3 linked regions of the Sus scrofa genome follow. The protein of the gene in region 2 purifies or fractionates together with the protein of the main gene of each other region. This does not show direct contact. Links are inferred from orthologs where the notes say so. Each region holds a gene or a part of one and is shown on either strand. Other genes may lie near its edges.

The links.
Region 1: the proteins of FAM53C (region 2) and DYRK1A purify together in Homo sapiens (affinity purification with mass spectrometry; 8 studies listed by BioGRID and IntAct, counting the BioPlex papers as one, with this or other methods). This does not show direct contact. The link is inferred for Sus scrofa from reciprocal best matches to the Homo sapiens genes FAM53C and DYRK1A.
Region 3: the proteins of FAM53C (region 2) and DYRK1B purify together in Homo sapiens (affinity purification with mass spectrometry; 3 studies listed by BioGRID and IntAct, counting the BioPlex papers as one, with this or other methods). This does not show direct contact. The link is inferred for Sus scrofa from reciprocal best matches to the Homo sapiens genes FAM53C and DYRK1B.

What each region holds. Positions count from the first base shown.
Region 1 is NC_010455.5:201,139,288-201,146,238, reverse strand, and holds part of DYRK1A (dual specificity tyrosine-phosphorylation-regulated kinase 1A), read right to left. Parts: intron 4,034-6,951; coding exon 3,887-4,033; intron 1,152-3,886; coding exon 1,011-1,151; intron 1-1,010. UniProt on the Homo sapiens protein: Dual-specificity kinase which possesses both serine/threonine and tyrosine kinase activities. Exhibits a substrate preference for proline at position P+1 and arginine at position P-3.
Region 2 is NC_010444.4:140,327,470-140,334,520, reverse strand, and holds the start of FAM53C (protein FAM53C), read right to left. Parts: upstream 3,921-7,051; 5' UTR 3,644-3,920; intron 286-3,643; 5' UTR 134-285; coding exon 56-133; intron 1-55.
Region 3 is NC_010448.4:48,311,162-48,318,212, forward strand, and holds the start of DYRK1B (dual specificity tyrosine-phosphorylation-regulated kinase 1B), read right to left. Parts: upstream 3,363-7,051; 5' UTR 2,835-3,362; coding exon 2,405-2,834; intron 1,152-2,404; coding exon 988-1,151; intron 1-987. Other genes in the region: FBL (rRNA 2'-O-methyltransferase fibrillarin), read right to left, coding at 3,701-3,725, 3,834-3,979, 4,793-4,905, 5,990-6,122.

The sequences.
Region 1 (6,951 bases), on a different chromosome or scaffold from region 2:
GCAGCAAGCCACAAATCAGTTATGGAAGCTACAATTACATATATATTTTAAAAAATATATTCAAAAACAAACTATTTGATATGAAAAGTTAAAGACTCCATAGACGAAGGTCAATTACAGAAGACAAGCAGCACCTTCAGTTCACTGGAAATGACACCCGGTGGCAATATCACTAAAATGCAAGGGCAAATAAAAATGGTGGCAAAATAAAATCTCTTAAGTGTTAAAAATGCAAAACTACAGTCGCAAGGTGGATGGTATATAAATGACATATTTATGGACTATATTCATCTATAACAGAAAAATCTAATTACAAACTATGATTATTCTCAGATACATAAAACAAAGAGGTGTAAGTCAAGATGCAAAACTGTCATCATCCACGCCATTAAAGTGACAAAGCTTATGTATCTGAAAGAAGTTCTCAGATTAAAAAAAAAATTCCTAAAAGATTATCGTTTTAAAAACCTCACTTTCAAAGATTTTAGAGATGTGAAATTCCTGTTATCCAAGCTAGGAATCTGAAATCAAAGAACCACCTAGTAGGTTCATATTCTTGTCACAAACTGCCTAAGTCAAAAATCCTTTACTCTCATCTTAAAAAAAAAAAAAAAAAAAAAAAGCCATTTACTGCAATTATGAATTTTGATGTTCACAGCTGCAGAACTGTTATACCTGTGACTTCACTATATACCCAAACTATGAGAAACAAAAGTCACTGATTCTACTGTTGACACAGGACATGGTGATTTGATCAGCTGCCACGAAAGGCAGACAAAATGAAGCTTCAAAGAAAATTCTGAGTATTATAAGCAAACGCTGGTCCATACACACAGTTCAGGTCAAACTATAATCAACTTGTGAAGAAAATATGTACCTAAGTTATCAATGGAACTACTGTTAATAACTGATACCAGTAACACTGATTTCAAGTAAATAACAAAATATGCTATAAAGACAGCTCAATGAAAGAAATGTGACTGCTCAAAAAAATATTCCCTTATTTTTACCCGTTTTCCATCTTTGGTCTTCTTTAAGTTCCAAGTGCCATCTGGCAACTTCTCAAAGAACTTTCTTGCTTTTGGTGCTTGGTCAAGAATATGAGCAGGTGGAATACCCAGAACTTCCACAATTTTATTCATCTGATCTACCTGTATTAAAATAAAAATAAAAAAACCTGTAATTTCTACTGTAGTCCATCCTACTTCTGCTCATCAATTCATTCATTCACAAATAATAAATAATAAATAACTTAAGCATCTCCTGTGTCAGGCACTCCTCTGGGCATTAAGCATATAATAATGAACAAAAGAGATAAAGTCCCGGCCTTCCCGAAACCCAACATTCCACAGAGGGGCGGGCAGACAATTAAGTAAACACATACATCTGTGGGATGGCAAGTGGTCATGGATCCAATGGAGAATAAGGAATGACTGGAGGGAGTTTTTAAACTTTTAAGTTTTGGGAGAGTTTTAGTTAAATAACCCCACACAAAAGGTTTACTAAAGTGTGGACCTAATAAAAGTATTTTTTTAAGTGCAGATTCATTCAACAGATCAAGTGTCTATTATATGATAGAAACCATGCCCACTATAACTCAGCAGTAAACAAAAGAGACAAAAATCCCTGCCCCAAAGTTTCTATCATAGAGGAAGAGATCGCCAAGGAACAAATAAATACATAGTAAAATTTATTAGATCTGTCTAAGAACCATGAAGAAAATTAAAAGGGGATGAGGAGTCAGAAGGAACTGCAACTTAAAATAGGGTGCCAGGAGTTCCCATTGTGGCTCAGTGGTTAACAAATCTGACTAGGGACCATAAGGTTGCAGGTTCGATCCCTGGCCTTGCTCAGTGGGTTAAGGACCCTGCGTTGCCTTGAGCTGTGGTGTAGGTTGCAGATGCAGCTCGGATCCCACGTTGCTGTGGCTCTGGCGTAGGCCGGTGGCTACAGCTCCAATTCGCCCCCTAGCCTGGGAACCTCTATATGCTGCGGGAGCAGCCCTAGAAACAGCAAAAAAAAAAAAAAAGGGTGCCAGGAAAGGCTTCACCGAGAAGGTGACAGCAAAGCAAAACCTAAAGGCAGTGAGGGCAGGCCCGGGAGAGCGCCAAGGCAATGTGGCTGGGCCAGAGAGAGCTGGGGAGGCGGCAGGGCAGGTGGGAGAGAGAACAGGCGGGGCGGGGCGCTTTCCGAGCTACTCAAAGGACTGTGACTTCCACCATGAGTGGGGTGGAAGTCACTGAAGCTTCAGATGCCCATGAAAAGGTGACAAGAGGGTAATATTCTTTATGACTAAAAGAAAAACAGGGAGCTCCTGCTATGCTCAGTGGTAACGAATCCGACTAGTATCCACGAGGACGCGGATTGGATCCCTGGCCTCGATCAGTGGGTTAAGGATCTGGCACTGCTGTGAGCTGTGGTGTAGGTTGCAGATGCGGCTTGGATCCTGCATAGCTGTGGCTGTGGTGTAGGCTTACAACTACAGTTCCGATTCAAGCCCTAACCTGGGAAGTTCTATATGCTGAGGGTGCGGCCCTAAAATGACCAAAAACAACAACAAATTTTTTACACTATGGTAGTTACTCGAAAAGAGCAGCTCACTAGCTACAGTGAATTGAATTAAAGGCAAGAGGAAGGGACAGGTTTCTGACACTAGCTATTAAAGAGCTGTATAACCCAGTACAATTTATTACATTTTGTTAGTCTTTTTTTTCCCTCTCTTTTAAGGGCCTCACCTGTGGTATACGGAAGTTCCTGGACTAGGGGTCAAATCAGAGCTGCAGCTGCCAGCCTACGCCAGAGCCACATGGGATCTGAGCCACGCCCGTGACCTATGCTACAGCTCATGGCAAAGCTGGACCCTTAACCCACTGAGCCAGGCCAGGGATCCAACCTGCACCCTCAGGGACACTATGTTGGGTTCTCAACCCCCTGAGCCACAGGGGGAATCCCATCTTTCTTTTCTCATGTATAAATGAATGGACTGATCTGCAATGGTTAACTTCTCTTAAAGAAACAAAAAACAGAAGTTCCCAATGTGGCATAACAGGATCGGCAGTGTCTCTGCAGTGCCAGGATGCAGGTTCGATTCTCGGCCCAGTACAGTGGGTTAAAGGACCCAGCATTGCTGCCGCTGTAGTGTTGGTCACAACTGTGACTAGGATCTGGCTCCTGGCCCAGGAACTCCATGTTCCCTGGGGTGGCCAAAAAAGAAAGAAAGAAACAAAAAACAACAGAACCCCACAAGCAAATAGTTTTAAAACCAATGAACGCCCAATTCCTCTGACTGTAAGGGAGCTTGGGCTTTCTCCCTCTTGCCCTCCTCCCCTTGCCAGGCACTGCCTCTGCCCTTCGAAACCATCCAAGAACGCAGACGGAAAACCTGCAGACTAGAAGAATTATACTTAGTCTGTAGCTCTAAAATTCTACAGTCCTAACTTACCCGAAATTATTCAGATCAAACATCCATCAACCCTACTGGTCATGCATTATTTCAAATCATACTGTCAAAGTTTTACACGGATGTTTGCATTGTTTTCAGGGAGGCCCTCATTTCTTCAAGATTATTTTTTTCTTGAAAATTTTACTTAAAATCTGTAAAATTTATATCAAAGTACTTAACATGTGCCAATCTAATTTATCGTTCTCCATTAGCAGAATGAAAGATCTCACATTCCATCTCATAATTCTAAACTCACCATTACATGATAACTGAAAAAATTAAAAATGGATAAAATATGTTCAAAACTGACCTAACACCTGAATGACTAAGTTGGTAAAATAGACATCTTTTCCTCTAAACAACTCTCATATTACACTGTCAGAGATTAAAAACAAAAAGAAACCATGAAAAGAGAAACAATTTTTAAAGCGATCCATCACATACCTCATTGGCTCCACTGAACAGAGGTTCTCCAGTGTGCATTTCAACTAAAATACACCCAAGGGACCACATGTCGATAGCAAGGTCATAAGGCATTCCCAGTAGCACCTCTGGAGACCGATAAAAGCGACTCTGGATATACTGGTATATCTAAAATATATTTCAAAACAGTATTAATTCCAAAATAAGTTTTAATTGTAGTCAGCACTGTATTAACACAAATCTAATATTAACAGAATAAAACAACTGGGTTGAGTTCCATTTACTGATTTCAACATTAGTCTATGAATATTGTTTAAAGAACTAAACACATTTCAAGGGAGTGGTAAATCTGAGTGAAATGCACAATATATAAAATTCAAGTCCTTTTATTTAATTCAATCCTAACTGGTAATCAAGATATATCTTAAACAATTATAAAGAAAATATTATCAGAGGAAAATATTCTTGAGAACAATTTATTTCCTTATTAATTATTCTTTCCTGCTATGGCTGGTACTTGGCTTACCATTAATTTAACAGTTAAATTGTATTTAAACTAACCTAAGGAATGAAATACACTCTTGACATTAATTTAAAGCATTAGGAGTCATAAACTCAGCACAGTGTAACTGAAGATTCAGACATCTGTACTGTACTAGTTTCACAGATAAATCCTAGAAACACTGCCATCTAAAGATTCAGCTGAGTGTCATTTCTGACTAATCGCTTCTCTACCTTGTCCCCACCCCATCCCACTCCTAAGGCTTCTTCGAAGAAGAAAACCTTGAAACCGATTAGTTTCAATGAAGTGATCTGAGACTCCTTAAGAGCCTAATTTATCTCTTCTTAGCCACTTAAAATTTCTACCTAGAAATATCACAAAAGCAAAGACAGTTTGATTTTAAAAGGAAGAGAAAGAAATAAAATTCCTCCTAACTAAACTCTCTCACTTTAACACTCAAAACAGACAGCCAGCAGCATGGAGCTGCTTTCTCACAAAAGCTTCTGCGGCGCCACTACAACTCCAGCTAAGCCTCTGAGAATCATCTCAGGCTTCCACGAGCAAGTCAACCCAACCTCAAGATCTTCTCAGAGCAAAGAAAGTCTAATTCAAAGGGACCAAGAAGAAGTATTACATTTCCAAGTTTTTATAAGCCCCAAAGCTACTGAGACTATCTTATTTCCGAGTTTATCAAAGGAAATTTGTCGGCTACCCATCCAGTCGGTTAAAGCGGTGGTTGGTTTGTCTACAAAGTTATGCACCAGGATCCCCTGAGGAACTTTTTCTGAAACATACTTGCCCTGTCACCTTCTAAGACTGAGCCAGCAGACCTAAAGTAGGGCCAGTGCTGGCCTAGTTTAGAAACAAATTCCCATGGGATTCTGACACACTCACAGAGGTAAAAACTCACTGAGCTAAAGGCATAGTTGTCTTGGTTTGGCTGGAGAGACACAGCAGTGTTTGACATTAGGACAGAAGATATGATTTGGTTTAAAGAGGGAAAAAACTATGCAAGTCTAAAATCTTTTGCAATTACTCTCAAGATGGGCACGTATTTTCCATTTACAATAGACTTTATCCCACAGTGACTATGAGTATCTCTCGATTTTGAGAGGCATCTGAAACAGCAAACCTTGCTTCCTAATCCATCTATTTAAAAAAATTATTTCAATGATCTATAGTACTGCTTTCATAAGATAATTTGCAGAAAGTAATAAAAGGACAATCCTGTTAACTGGCCATAAACCTACTGTATTTAAAAGCTGGAAAAAAGTTGGACAGAACAGGAAATCTCATTAATTTGGAAAATTAAGAAATGGAAAACCATTATGAAACAGTGATACCTGAATGTTAGTTATATTTTTACTTTTTTTTAAAGAAATGTAGTTTCAATACTTAGTTAAATAGGAATAGTAATTAAAAAGTGAATGAAGTGTTATCAAATGGTGACCCTAGTTAGTTTCAAGAAGAGAATCTGTAAATTCTATTTTATATACAAAATACTGTTAGAGTAGCTTTCATAATGCTCAAAAGAATAGCAGGAAAAATCTTTCCTAAATCATCTAACCTAAATCTATTTATTGCTATGGACATGTCTGTTTTCAGCATTCTGAGGAAAATCAGTCTGGATACGTCTAAAAATTTATAAAAGGAAAAAAAATTTAAACTTATTTATCAAAACAACTATGTCTACTAACTGAGTAATTTCTAACTACATTGCCATGTGTAATGCAAAATTACCTCCCTTTTTTTTTCTTTTAACCCATCAGCTTTTTGTTGGGGGTGGTGGTGCTGCATCCATGGCATATGGAAGTTCCTGCGCTAGGGATCAAGTCCCAGCTGCAGCTATGACCTACACCATAGCTGTGGCAACACCAGACCCCTTAACCCACTGCACCACAGCAGGAACTCTAACCCATCAGCTTTTTGAGGAAAAACACTTATCTTGAGCTATATTTGGTGAAATATTTTACAGCAAGGATTCGATATTTCTATTACTGGAATTTCCCCAAACTTACACTAAAACTTCTATTTGGGAACTAAATCTTTTTTTTTTTGGGGGGGGGGGGGTCTTTTTGTCTTTTCTAGGGCCGCACCTGCAGCATATGGAGGTTCCCAGGCTAGGGGTCGAATCGGAGCTGTAGCCACCAGTCTACACCATAGCCACAGCAACGCCAGATCCGCATCTGCAACCTACACCATAGCTCACAGCAATGCCGGATCCTTAACCCACTGAGCCAGGTCAGGGATCAAACCTGCAACCTCATGGTTCCGAGTCAGATTCGTTAACCACTGAGCCATGATGGGAACTCCCAGGAACTAAATTTTTAATAAATCACCTAATATTTAATACATTCATCCCCTATTTTCTTTGCCTTTTGCATACAGATAATTTTTTAAAATAAACTTTGAAAAACCAATACATTCTAATTCAAAGTATTATTATTTGCATTTTAAAAGGTATTTTCGCCAAATAGGTAAAACACAAGGTGAGTCAAGTGCTACATTTGAACCATAAACCATCTTGTAATTACCTCCAAATTGTGTACAGATTAATAACATTTTAACTATCTACACCGTTTTA
Region 2 (7,051 bases):
GCCTCAGAAAAAAGGGGGAGGGGGTCGTGGAGAAGCAGGAAGACTGGTCTTTTACCAGACTGATGCTGAAGCGTGTGCATTTCAGCTCATCCAGAGTCTGCTTCTGTAGCTGCTCAGTGATCAGGGTTATCATGATTCTCCCCGGGATTTGACTTGCACACTGTGGAGCAAATGATGGATGTCTTCCCTGTCGTTCTTCCAGACCTCACTCGTGAGCCGTCTTCTGCCACTGCAGCACCATTCTAGCACCATTGGGACTTCCCTCTCCAGTCATGCCTGCTGAGTCTGCCAATTATAGAGGGACCAGCCCCAAGTGATATTAGAGATGTACCTAGTCCAGAGATAGAAAATGCATGGCACACATACCACAGCATCCCTATGTCAGGCCTCTGGCAGACATCATTAATTGACAACAGCTCTTTCATGCTAAGCCTAAACATGGCCTCAGAAACATTCTCAACTTGGTAGTCCAGATAACCAGTAAAATGAAATGGACTTGGTAAGCAAATTGAAACCTATTTGCCACTCCTAACCTGGTTCATGCCCTGCTCTGCATATCCAGAACACTGGCACCACTTAGAAAACAGCTCAGGAGTTCCCGTCGTGGCACAGTGGTTAACGAATCCGACTAGAAACCATGAGGTTGCGGGTTCGATCCTTGCCCTTGCTCAGTGAGTTAACGATCCGGCGTTGCCGTGAGCTGTGGTGTAGGTTGCAGATGCGGCTCGGATCCCGCGTTGCTGTGGCTGTGGTGTAGGCTGGCAGCTACAGCTCCAATTCGACCCCTAGCCTGGGAACCTCCATATGCCGCGGGAGCAGCCCAAGAAATGGCGAAAAGACAAAAAAAAAAAACAAAAACAAACAAACAAACAAACAAAAAACCAGCTCAAAGGAGAGAGACGCCCAAATTGTTATTTCTGTCCTGATTAGTCCAATATTTTATCTTCTAGTCATAAGCAAAGAGAGGTAAACTTTTCCTAAACATCAGAAATATTAATAGGGAACAAAGAGGAACAGTGGTTGTAGGAATGAATTTCTGCTTCAAAACAATCAGAGTAAACAAGGTATTATGTTCTCCTTAGCCTCAAGAGCTGCTATCTTATTATTCTTCTCCAACAGATACTGTACATATTCTCTCATAAGAGAATAAGGAAATGGTACCAGGGTGACTCCATTTACATTTCAACTCTAGAGAGATTGAAAACAACTCTGACTTCACTCAACTAAGTTTTTAGCCTGATCTGACTCAAAGACCATGAATACAATTAATCAAGACTCTTTCTCATGGTCAATTACAGCAGAAGCAAACAAATTCTATCAGAGAACAGGCTTCAAACCCACACAACTGCCTGAGGGGCCTTGCTCAAGGGAGGAGGGGAAGTTAACCTAACATTTCCAAACTGTTCTGCCTATTCCCAGAAATGACCAGCAGGCAGACGGCACACCAGACGTCTAAGTAACATTTGCTAGCAGATACAACTATCAAGAAATCAAGGAGTTCCCATTGTGGCGTAGAGGAAATGAATCCAACTAGGAACCATGAGGTTGTGGGTTCAATCCCTGGCCTCACTCAGTGTGGCCAGCAGCTGTACCTCTGATTAGACCCCTAGCCTGGGAATCTCCATATGGCCCTAAAAAGCAAAAAAAAAAAAAAAAAAAAAAAAAAAAAAAAGAAATCAAATATGGGTCCGATTGGCAAATCTAACCTTTCTTTGCCTCAGTTTACTCATAGGTAAAATGGGCAGAATAACCACACTCTGTCACTGGAAAAATATTATGCCAAATATCACTATGTAAAAAGTATACATCCAAGCCTATACAAATCAGGAGTCCACACAAACTGCCGGGTTTCTCATCCCTCCTATTTGATCTTCTACAAACCCTCAGAATGCCAAAAGTGCTAATACCAACATGAAGAAGGCAATTGGGTTGATCTACTTGGCTGGATCCCAACCTCCTTCACCTGCACACCAAGAGAAGCCCAAAAGGGTTGTTCTGTGACCTTGAGGGCAGACCACTCTCTACCTAGGCAGAAAAAGAGGGGATCCTCTCTACCCACTCTCACCTCAAAAGAAGGCAGACCACAAGGAAATGCAAAGAAATACACCTTCGTGTACTTGGAGTTTAAGGGAAAAAAGGTGTTGGAGAAGTCAGTCATCACTATGGCTAAATAACATTTTCATGCATAATTATTACTACCACTCCGAACAGAGTTCCAGCTTCCTGGGAGCTCCTTTCGGCTGCTTCCCCTATGTTCTTGTAGAAGCTAAAGCTTATATCACTTCTGCTCTTGGTTTCTTAACTCTGCCCTCAAAAATCAACCAGAGAGGGAACCTAACTGCAGGCTTTTACCCCCAGACACCCCAGGCCTCAAGCTGACCAGCCATGAGGAGCAGGGAGTGAAGCAAAACTCTTTTAAGCTCTTCATGAGGCATTTAGCCAAACAGCAAACTTCTAGCCCTCTCTGGGATCAAGGGAAGAGAGTGATTTTGTGTTTTTCTGCATTTTAATTGTTGGGATGTGGCCACACACGGCGGTAATTGGAACAATGCAACTACCACCACGCAACTGATACTCTCTGTCTGAGTTTCCTAAAACAGGCCAGGCTGAGAGGGGGAACAGAACGGAAGCCATAAGGAATCAAACCAGGACACAAAAGAAGGCAAACCAGCTCCACGAGGGGCCTCCTCTTTCTCAGGCAGGCATAGAAAAAAGTGTAAGAAGCCCTCTCTTGCCGCCTTCCTTCCCCTTCCATTTTGTGTATCTGAGGGGCAGACAGCCCTGAACGTTCACTAAACAAGTTAAAACTTCTCAGCTTAACAACTGGCACGGGGCTCAGCCCTACACAGAGCAGCAGGCGGCTAGGCCCTCCTCCAAACCCCACCAGGCCCAACTCTCAATCCAGGGTTTCTCTCCACCATCACCCCCCCAAATAAAGGTTGGACCCCTGCCACCCCGACCCCATGGGTTGGCAGTAATCCCTGACATTAGGGTTTCAGGGATGCTGAGGTTGTGCTGAAACCTGGAGAACCTAGGATCAAGTGAGGCCAAAGGGGAGGAGAGTCAAAAACCCATGGGGACCTTCCCCCTAGGTCCCAGTCCCACAGCTCTGGGGGAGACTAAGGAAAACATGAGGCAGGCATGGAGGTGCATGAACAGGTATGTAGGGACCTGACTGCTCTTCCTCCATATGGCACTGGTGGGGATAAGGGTGACAAGTGGGGAGCACCCCTCCCCCCACCCCAATGAAGAAGCAAAAGGCTAGGCCCCCCTTCCAATCTTCAACCTCTCCCTCGGTTGCCCTGCCTGTCCCGGCGGGGTGGGGCATGGGGCGTCCGCTGCCGCCCCCCCCCCCGGGGGGGCGCCAGGGCACGCTCATGGGGGCTGTCGCTCGTCTCTTCCCAATCAGCTCCCATCACCTGGCCGCGGGAAGCGAACTCAGGACGCAGAGGATGGAGAGGGTCTGGGACTTAGCACTCCGCCACCCCCTCCCCCACCGGGTCCCGTGCTCTCCCCGCGGAGGCGGCCAGCGAGGCCCTGCCTCGCAGGCGGCCAGGCTGGGGGAGGGGAAAAAGGGAAAGAGGGAGGGACGGTCGAGGTGCCCGCCCCGAGGCCACAGCGCCACCTGCCCTCCGCCACCTACCGCGGCTCCTCCAGCTCCCAGGGCCGCGGCCAGAGCAGCTCTGAGCGCTCGGTTCGCCCCACGGTGCCCTTAAAAGGCGCCGGAGCGAACCAACGGGCCCCTGAGGAGAGCGGGGAGATCACCCCGATATGCAGAATCCCCCGAACCGTCCGCGGGGGCTCGAGCACCGCGTCGTTTATCTCTCAAAGCCCTTCTTGGATGGCGCTGTCGGGAAGAGGCCCGGCTCTTTGACTTAGCTACAAGGGTGGGTTCCTCATTATCGAGTCACCCCCTCCAACATATTGGAGAAGGTGGACTGACCCAGTTGGAGGCAAACGTCGAAACCCGCGGGGGAGGCCGCGTCGGCTGAAGGTAAACAAAGCCATCGCCTTCGCCCTCTATTACTACATAGATCCACTTACAGCCCTCAACTCGGTTCCAGTAGTGTAAAAGAACTAATTCAGGTTCCTCTCACCTGCTCTTCTGTCCCACCCTCTACAGCCGCCTTTCTGAAGGAATCCCCTTTCTCCTAGCAGAGGACCCGTCCGCGGCGTGAAGGCTTCTGGGAAGTGTAGTCCAAGCGCCGATTAGGGCCTGCTCTGAGTCCCAGAGCCCCTCTCCCAGCTGCCAGATCGGCTCGAGCCTTAAGAATCCAGGACTTATAACGGTTGCGGGGCCGTTCCTACTTGGTTCTGTAATTAGCCGTTACCCAAAATATCGTAAAGCTGACCAGGGCCCAGGGCTGTTCACTCCTCCTCCCCTACGCACCCCCCCCCAGCAGGATGAGGTAATGGGATTGTGATTATGACATCATAGGCGGTTCAGTTGCTTGCGTGGGGGAGGGGGAAGGGGGAGGGGAAAATTATGGTGGTTACAGCTGGACCACTTTCCTTTAGACAGAAAGGGAGGGAGCAAACAGACAGATGAGGGGAAAATATTGATGGCTCTGTTTTCTCCTCAGGAAGAGGAAACCACCTTTTACAAAATCTCCACCACTCCCACCACCTCCCACCTCAGCCAAAGTTTCAGTCCTTTTTTAAGAATCTGAATATAGTAGTAGGTGAAGAGGTTGTGGAAAAGCTGGGTGATTTCTGGCTCTTATGTCAATTTGAGTCTCAGCTATCGAGAAGGTTTAGAGAGACGGTAAAAAAATGGGAAGATGGGGTGGGTTAAACAATGCCTTCGTGTTATGATCTCTTAAAGGACAGAGTTTTAGACTTCATTTTTAATCGATTGGAAAGAAGTACTGCAAGTAATTTCATTGTCACATTCAGCAACAAGTCCTCTGAAAGACATGTTTTCCCTAAATATTTTGTGCTCCACTCAAGTTTGGGACAGATAATTGTAATCAGCTAGAACGTAGAGCCAGTGGTGGGGATCTTCCTCACAGATCCAGGAAAGGGAGGAGGCAGGAGCCACCAAATCTGCAAGCTGAAAAAGAAAAGTAGAGGGAAAGTGATGTATTTATGAAGAAAATGGGGGGGGGAATATACTGCACACTTGCTTGCCCTGCACATTTCCCTTAGCAAAAGAAGGCACAGGGGCATGAAGTACAAGAGACATGGTTTTCCTGGAGCTCCTGTTGGTGGTGCAGCAGAAACAATCCAACTAGGAACCATGAGGTTGGGATTACATCCCTGGCCTTGCTCAGTGGGTTAAGAATCTGGCATTGCCATGAGCTATGGTGTAGCTTGCAGACGCGGCTCAGATCCTGCGTTGCGTGGCTCTGGCTATGGCCAGCAGCTGTAGCTCTGATTCGACCCCTAGCCTGGGAATCTCCACAAGCCCCAATTGAGGCCCTAAAAAGCCAAAAAAAAAAAAAAAAAAAAAAAAAAAAAAGACAGACATGGTTTCCAATAACTGCTGTTGGTGGAGCACTTATGTTTCAGGCACCATGATGCATACTTTAAATGTGTATTCTCATTTTTGTTTACAATAATAAAATGAGACAAAAATCTATTTGACAGATAAAACAGCAGGAGAGGTTAAGTGACTCCCTTAACAGTGATGGACAGAGGTATTAAAAAGCAGTTGAGGAATTCTCTTGTGGTGCAGTGGGGTAAGGCACTGAAGTGGCTTGAGTTGCTGCTGTGGCATGGGTTACATCCCTGGCCCAGGAACTTCAGCATGCTGAGGTGGATGTGGGAGGAAAGCAGTCTTAGGCTCTAAAACCTCTGATCTTCACCATTAGGTGATCCCTCTTTTTATTTAATAATAAAAGACCATGCTTACTATACTTAAATGGTTGAGTAAATACTGAAAGAAACTGAGACACTTAAAACCCTCCAAGTGAGGTTTCAGGTCTCATTTCAAAGGAAGATGACACTCATTTCATCAAGTATAAAATAGCTTCCCCAGTGCAGCTCAACATCTCTCCCATTACTAACTTTAACTAGATCTCCTTATGCCACTTTTGCTTCAGGTTTTTTTTTTTTTGTTTTTTTTTTTTTTTGTCTCTTGCGTTTTCTTGGGCCACTCCCGTGGCATATGGAAGTTCCCAGGCTAGGGGTCGAATCGGAGCTGTAGCCGCCGCCTACGCCAGAGGCACAGCACTGTGGGATCCCAGCCGTGTCTTCAACCCATACGACAAGCTCACGACAACGCCAGATCCTTAACCCACTAAGCAAGGCCAGGGATCGAACCCACAACCTCATGGTTCCTAGGCGGATTCGTGAACCACTACGCCACGACGGGAACTCCCTTCAACGGTTTTTTTTTTTTTTTTTTTTTTTTTAACTCATGTCTTGCAATTTGTCCTGCTCTCTTATTTTCCTTCTTTTGTTCTTGGGCTACTACCTTGAACCCCATCATAACTCTGGCCTCCTAGGCCAGATCCCATCTCTGACCCTGCTCCAATGGATTGCAGCAGAGGATACTACCTGGGTTCCCTTCTGGTCTCCATCCAGATTCCCTGAGGGTTGCAAAGGGGAAGAATCCATTGGCTCTAAGAGATTCTCCATTCCCCACCTAGAGAGACGGTAGAGTCAAAGGAACATGAACCTCATTCACACTCTCCCTTTTCAGCCAGTGAAAGCTAAACCTCTGCAAAGTGGAGAGAGGTGGGGCTTAGTCCATCACTCAAAGAAGGAACCAGGAATAGTGCACACACCCCTCAGCCTGCAGAGGCTGGTTGGGGGGTCCCAGGAATGTAGGGCTCTTCTCCACTGCCTGATCTGGGCATCCCAGGATCGACGGCTGTACCTCCTGTTCTTGTTTGGCGTTTGAGGGTGAAGTCCTGGCAGTCGCTGTGCCCTGGCAACAACAGATTGTGTCAGACTGAGGTCAAGGTGAAGGGGCACAGCTCACTACTTACCACAGCGAATTAGGAGACGCATTAGGGATTCCCTGAGAATGAGGTAGGATCAGTGCCCTCAATCCAAAGAAAATCTTTAAACACCAAACTTCCCAACTCTCTGATATTCTTTCTTC
Region 3 (7,051 bases), on a different chromosome or scaffold from region 2:
AAGCGGGAGCCCTATCTGGGCAGCTGGTTCCTCGTGACCACAGGCAGGACCATGTGGTCATGGTCTGACCACCCCGCTAGAATGGAAACTCCCCAAGGACAGAGACTTGATCTCCTTCTTGCTTTATGTCCCGTGTCTGGAACAGGGCCTGGCACACAGATGTTCATTAGAAATTTGCTCAGAGAGGGACGGAGTGAACGGTTTACCCCGGACCTTTCATCCCATCCCTTTCGCTCTTTCCTAAACCTCCGTGGGGGAGATCTGAGAGAAACCTGGGGCTCTGCCCGCCCAGTCCTTCACCTGGAACCACCCCTTCTGGGCATTCCCCCTTGAGGGCCCCTATCTTGCTTTACCCTCATTCCCTGGGGCCATCCCAACCCTCACCCTCCACCCTGTGCAGCTCTGCCCAGTTTTTCATCCTAAGGGTCTTGGATCTGGATCCAGCACCCTGGACCTCCCGCTCCAACCCGCTTCAGATTCTACGGTTCAAAACCTAACAGTCTCTACCCCTGAAGCTCCCGACCTGCATCCCCAGGCCCTGCTGACTCCAAGACCCTTTAGGCTCAACCCTCCTCCTCTTTTACCCCCTCTAGATCTTCCTCTCTGGACTTTTTTTCCCTTTGGTGAACATTTATTGAGTATTTACTATGTGCCAGATACTGTTCAGAGCATTTCCAACTGCATTTCATTAACGTGTTCAAGCCACACAATAACCGTGGGAGGCAAGTGTAATTATAGGCTGCATTTGACAGAAGTGGAAACTGAAGCAGGGAGAACCTACCTAAGTAACACGACCCCCCGGGCCAGGATTTGAACTCAGGCTCTCCAAACCTCGACTGCCAGCAACTCCTCTATATCTTCCACTCCCTTGGCACCCTTCATGGACCCCAGAGATTGTCCTAGACAGCGTACCATCTTTTTGGCTCCAAGACTCCTATCCCAGCCTCCCCCGACCCCAGGCAGGTGAGGAGCCAGGTGAACGCGTACCTGCGTGTGCTCCTGGGGCCCCGGGAAGCCAGAGAAGGGACCATGGCCCGGTGGGACGGCCATGGTGGGCTCAGAGGGCCGCAGGGGAGCGAGGCCTGGAGCGGGAGCCCGGCCGGGGGGCGCCTTCTCGCATCCTGCACCTCGGCTGCCACCGCCGCTGAGACCTGAGAGCGGGCGGGAGGCAGGGGAACAACATGGAACAAGGGGATGTGTGGGACAGTGCCAGGAAGGAGAGAGGGGGACATGAAGAAGAAGGCAGGGCACAAAGGGAAGAAGAAAAGGATACAACAGAGCAACAGGTGGCAATAAAAAAAGGGGAAGAGAGAAGTGGAGGTGGGAGGCAGAGCGGGTCCCCTCAAGTGGTTACAAAGTAAATGAAGAAGGCGGCAGAGAGGAACGTGGAAAAGGGAATGATTGGGAGCCAGGCAGGGATATGGGCCATGACAGGAAAGGACAGAAAGACACCAATAATTGGGGGGGGGGGGGAAGAGAAGAGAGAAACCACAGACAGCAGAGCGGTAGGGTTCACTCTCCTTCCCATTTCTGCTCACCGCCCTCCCCAGGGCCCCTCACACATGATCCTGCCCTCCTGGAGTCCTTCCCTGAATGTCAGGATCTCGTCCCAGCAAGGTCCTTCCATCTCGAAATCTACCCTTCCCAGTAGGTCCCCCAATCCAAAGAACTCTGGAGTCGGAATCCTCCCAAACCACTTGAGTCTTCTGGGCCCCCTCCAAACCACAGCAGAATCCTCTGCAGGCCCTGGGGATCAGGGTCCTCAGGGACCTCCTGCCCACACCAAGGTTATCTGAGGACCTCTTCCTAAGAGTCCTACCCCTATGGCGTTCTCACCCGGCACACCCTTCCCAGGAGCCCCTCCCCAGATCTGTCAAGACTTCTTCCCTATCTTTTCTCCCATCGGGGACTGCCCCTCATGTAATTTGTCAAACCATATTTTGGTTCCCCCATGTCACAGCCTGGCTCCCCCTTCCCAGATTATTCCAAGGTCCCCCTCCCAATCAAGGCCCCACTCCTTCGGATGGAAACAAGGGGGAGGCGTCTCTTCCCACCGATCGTCCTTCTCTCTCCTACATGGATCCTACCCTCAACCTCCCCAACCAGTATTTCTGTCAGGGCTCTTTCTCCAGTCACTTCTCTACACCAGGGTCAATCCACAACGGTGCCCATTCCTAGAAGGCCCCCGCGGCCAAATTTCCCAAATATTACAGAGTTCTCCCCTTCCACAATATCTGCCACACCAAAATCCTCTCGTCACGGGCCTTCTCCCATGTCATTCCTTTTCTCCTATGTCAAGCCTTGCACTCCACGATCCCTCTCTCTTGGAGCTCCCCCACAAAACCTCTTCCCCACCAGAGGGGCCCTCCCACACCAGGACCCTCTCCCAGCCTCCGCCCCCTACCCGGGTCAGGGCTGGCGCGGGGCCCACGGGGGGCTGGGGCGCGGTGGGGCCCCCAGTGGTGTGGGCGAGCGGCCAGCATGGCGGCGGTAGCGGTGGTGAGAAGACGGCCGCCTGTCCCGGCCCGGCCGGCCCGGCAAGCCCCGCGGCGGGGAGGGCAAGCGGGACAGGCGGCCGGGTGGGTGACAACAGCAGCCGCCGCCGCTGGGGGCGGGGAGAGGAGGAGACGAGGGTCAGCCCGGGGCAAGCGGGGGAAGGGGAAAGCAGGTGGACGGGGGAGGGGCGGGTTAACCCTCGCCCCGCCGGCCCCGCCCAGCGCAGCCACCTGCCCCCGGGGACCCCGGCGTCCCGCCCTCCACCCTGGGGGCCCGCCCCGGCCAGGGGGAACCCGGCGGGCGGGGCTGGACCGAACCTGGCAGTCCACACCTACCATGGCAACAACCGTGCCATTGGTCACTACTGCCAAGAGCTCAACCAATCACAGTCCAGGACAGCTGTTGCTAGGCGACGACGATGCGGCCGGCGGAGCCGAGCCCAAACAAAGGGCGGGAGCGGGGCCCCGCTACCCCCTCCCAGCTTCCCTCCCGAGACAGCTCTCTCCGCTCGGGCTCGGCCCCTTCCAGGAATCCAACTATGAATAGCCAGGCAAGGCCTGCACCTGCCTGCCGTCCCCCTCCTCTCCTCCCTCGGCCTCGTGCTAAGTCTCGCGGCGACGCAGGCAGGGCGGGTCCCGTACTACCCTCCTCCCCGCGAGCGCGTGCCGCTCCGTCCATAGCCGCGTTGTTACCTGAGGCCGCGAGCAAGGGAACTCAAACTGCTCGGGAAGCCCGAGCTCAGACCTGCCCACTGGCTGAAAGTATCCGGCGGACGCGGCGAGCCAGGGCCCCGATTACCCAGTAATGCAACCAGCAAAATGGCGACCACAACAAACCGGCCCCCCCGCCCTGGACTCCGCCCCCACCCCCCCAAGCTGTTTCTCCTCACGTGACCCAGGGCAACACTCTGCGCCTGCGCTCGGAGGCGCTTACTGGTCTCCCAGCACAGCAAGCTATGAACCCCGCCCAAGCGCCGAAATCCAAGTTACGGCTGCGTAAGAGCCCGCTAAGAAACGAGCACGCGCGGTGCCACCGGGAGAGTGCCCGCCCCCACCACGCAAGTAGACCAAGGGCGCATGCGCCCCGTTAAGAGCGGTCGCCAAGCAATCAGCGGCAAACAAGAAGGACGCATAAGTCTTTTAATAGAAAAACACGCGTGTAACAGTAGCAACACAGTCTCTCGCGATCCAGATGGCACTGGGCTTCAGTTCTTCACCTTGGGGGGTGGTCTGTGAGAGGAAACAGATGCGGGGACTCAGAACTTACAAGCACTTTGGGGTACTCCTAACTAGTATTGAGACTCCCGGCTCTGGTGGATTACTGGGCCCCCTGCTTACCTGTACACACCCACGACCACAGCGTGGTCTCTTTCGTACGGCTCTAGGGTCAGCTGCTCCTGGGGCTTCATGTTCTCCTGCTGCATCTTTTTCACTTCAGAGGCAAACACGGCCTCAGCAGAGGCTGTGGAGTCAATGCAGTTGGCCTGAAGAAGAAAAAGGGTCTGAAGTCTGCAGCAAGGGTTTGGGGCTGTTTTCCCTTTGTTGTGCTCTTTCAAACCAGTAGAATTTTTAAGTTGGAAAATAGGCTTTGGAAATGTAGGGAAAGACTTTGTTAGGTAAGTTTTTAAGTAGTTTGGGTTTGAAACAGGAAGGCTTCAGCAGAGCTCTATTTATCTAAAGGCAAGTGTTTAAAATTTCCACTCTGGTTTCCCCCCCTCCCCGCCCCCATTTCCTCTTTAACAATCGCAATAATGCAGCTGAGATTACTAAAACAAATGCAGCAAGTGGTTAGGAAAGGCTCAATCTGGTTGAAAGTACACTGGAGAGGTCTCTGTATTTCAAAATAAAACGTTTTTAAAAATGTACCTAGCATTTATCTGGTATTTATACCAGGTTCTTGGCTAAACACTCCATACATATATTGAGAAATTTAGTCCTTACATCAACCCTAAAAGAGTTAGGACTAACATTGCTATTTCACAAGTGAAGCAACAGGCATAATATATAGGTCACCTGCTCAAAGACACACACTGGGATTCAAACTCATACGTGGGGATCACGCACTGAACCACGACGGTCTACTGCCTCTTTAAATCCTAAGGTTTTTAGTTTTGCAGACATTTTTCATTACTTGCTATTTGATTGGGTGGTTTATAGGGAGCTGGGTAGGGAACACACTGACTGGATTAGGACGGAGGGAAGCCCCCCCCCGCCCCCGCCCGAGTTTTAACTGGCTACATGGCAGGTATAGAGAGAAGATACTGCCACCCCATCTTAGACTCCTCTATGCCCCGCACCTTAATGGAGATCACAAAGTGTCCTCCATTGCGTAGGAAGGTGTGAGCATTCAGGGCTACAATCCGAGTCTGGTCTGGCTGGGCCACGTCAGCAAAGATCACATCCACCATCGCTAGGAGAAAGAAGTAACACTTACAAGCTGGATCCACAGGATCGTCCCAGCTCCTCCCCGGGGCCTGTGCCCCATCACCAGCAGGTTCCGGGCAGAGTCCTCCCTGCTTCCAGTCTCACTTCCCCCCATTGATCCCCCTCCCTCCACAGTGCCCCCAAGATGGGCCAAAAAAACCCTCAATCACACCGTTCACTCATTCCTCTTATAAACCATGTTGCCACCTACTCTGTGGCCAGCCCCGGGCTGGGCGTGGGGGACAGAGAGACGAGTCAGACCCGGACCCTGCCCTCGAGACGCTCCCGGGTCTGGGGGGGAGACAGACACGTCATCAAAAAGGCAAGTAAAGGTGAGCACGTACAGGCAAGAGAGTCTGCAGGACTGTCACACAAAAACAAGCCACAGGCTAAGGGGTATGGCATGAAGGCACCGGGGAAAAACTCACAGAAAGAAAAACCAGGGGGATGATGCAAGCAGTATTTTTAAGGCAGTGTGGGTCAAAAAAAAAAAAAAAAAAAAAAAAAAATGGAAAAGATGGTGCAATGAAAACTGACTTTCAAAAACCAGGAAAAGCAGACATCAAATGTTCATATCGGTTACCTCTGGGGGTGGTTTATAAGGCACTCCATTTTTACACTATGCTTCTGAATTTTTGCATTTTTTTTTTTTTTTTTTTTTTTTTTTTAAAAACCAAGGTCATTGACATTCACAGCGGGCTCCTCTGGGCCAGGCCACGCTCAGTTGTGCTTTCTGGGGTATGATCTCCCCAGAGGAGGGTGAGGACCTCTGAAGGAGGAGGTTACACACAAGCCGGGGGCAGTGTGAAAGGTACCGTGTTTTGGAGGGAGGCAGGAAGGACGGGGGAGGGTTCCTGGGGGGGAGGGCCCTCCGAGGGTACCAGACACATGAAGTGGGACGGCCACCTCCACAGCCTCACCGGGCTCTCTCCACCCTTTCCATTCCTGTAGACTCGAGAGGCCTGTGCATCCACTCCAATTCCATCCAAATCAGGGCTCTGGAGGCCGCATCCAGGAAACCTGGAGCGACCTGTCCTACCCCCACCAGGGCCAAGCCCTGGGCCCCTCACCGATGAGCATGCGGTATTTGTGCGGGTGCCGAGCATCTTCGATGACGGGAATGATGTTGGTCCTCTTCTTGGCCAGGTTAATGAGGTCACGGCCGGAACGGTGGGAGAACTCAACTGCATAGACCAGACCGTCCTAAAACAAAGCAAAAGCAAACAAAAATAACGATACTAAGTTCTCACGGCTGGAGTGCCTATTTGGGGGTCACATATTGTACACATCTCTTCAAATCCCTATCATTTAATGATTTATTATCACTTTACAGATGAACACACTGAGGTCTAGAAGATGTGAAATCATGGGCTAAGGGTTATTCAATCCGACTTGGTCAGATCTGAGGGCCCAGGCCTCCAATGTAGGCTTAAAACCAGGACGTCGTAATAGCTAAGAATATTTAATGGGCCAGGCACTGCTTTAGGCACATAATAGGAATTAACTCACTTATTTTCACAATGACTCTATTTTCCAGAGGGGCAAACTGAGGCGCAAGAGGGTAAGTAACTAGCTGAAAGCCACTTCACCGTCAAAAGCCCGCAGTGGAGCCGGGGGTTTTTAACCACAGCCTACAGCGGTAGAGCTGAGTGAGAGGTCCTGAAGCGAGATGCATAGGCGCCCTCTCAACAGGGAGCCGTCCACAGCCCAGAAACACAGGTCCTGGCAGTTCCTGCTGTGGCTCATCGGGTTAAGAATCTGACTAGTATCCATGAGGACGTGGGTTCGAACCCCTGGCCTTGCTCAGGGGTTAAAGGACCCAGCGTTGCCATGAGCTATGGTGTAGGTCACTGAGACGGCTTGGGTTTGGCGTGGCTGTGGCTGTGGCGAAGGCCGGCAGCTGCAGCTCCAATTCGAACCCTAGCCTGGGAACCTCCATATGCCATGGGTGCAGCCTTAAGAAAAAAAAAAAAAAGAAACACAGGCCCAGAAACTGACACCTCCTGTTCCTCCAAGAGAAATCAGACCAGATTTGAGGGGTATCAGTTTTTGTTTGTTTCCTTTTTGTTTTTTAGGGCTGCACTGCAGCATATGGAGGGTCCCAGGCTAGGGGTCTAATCAGAGCTACAGCC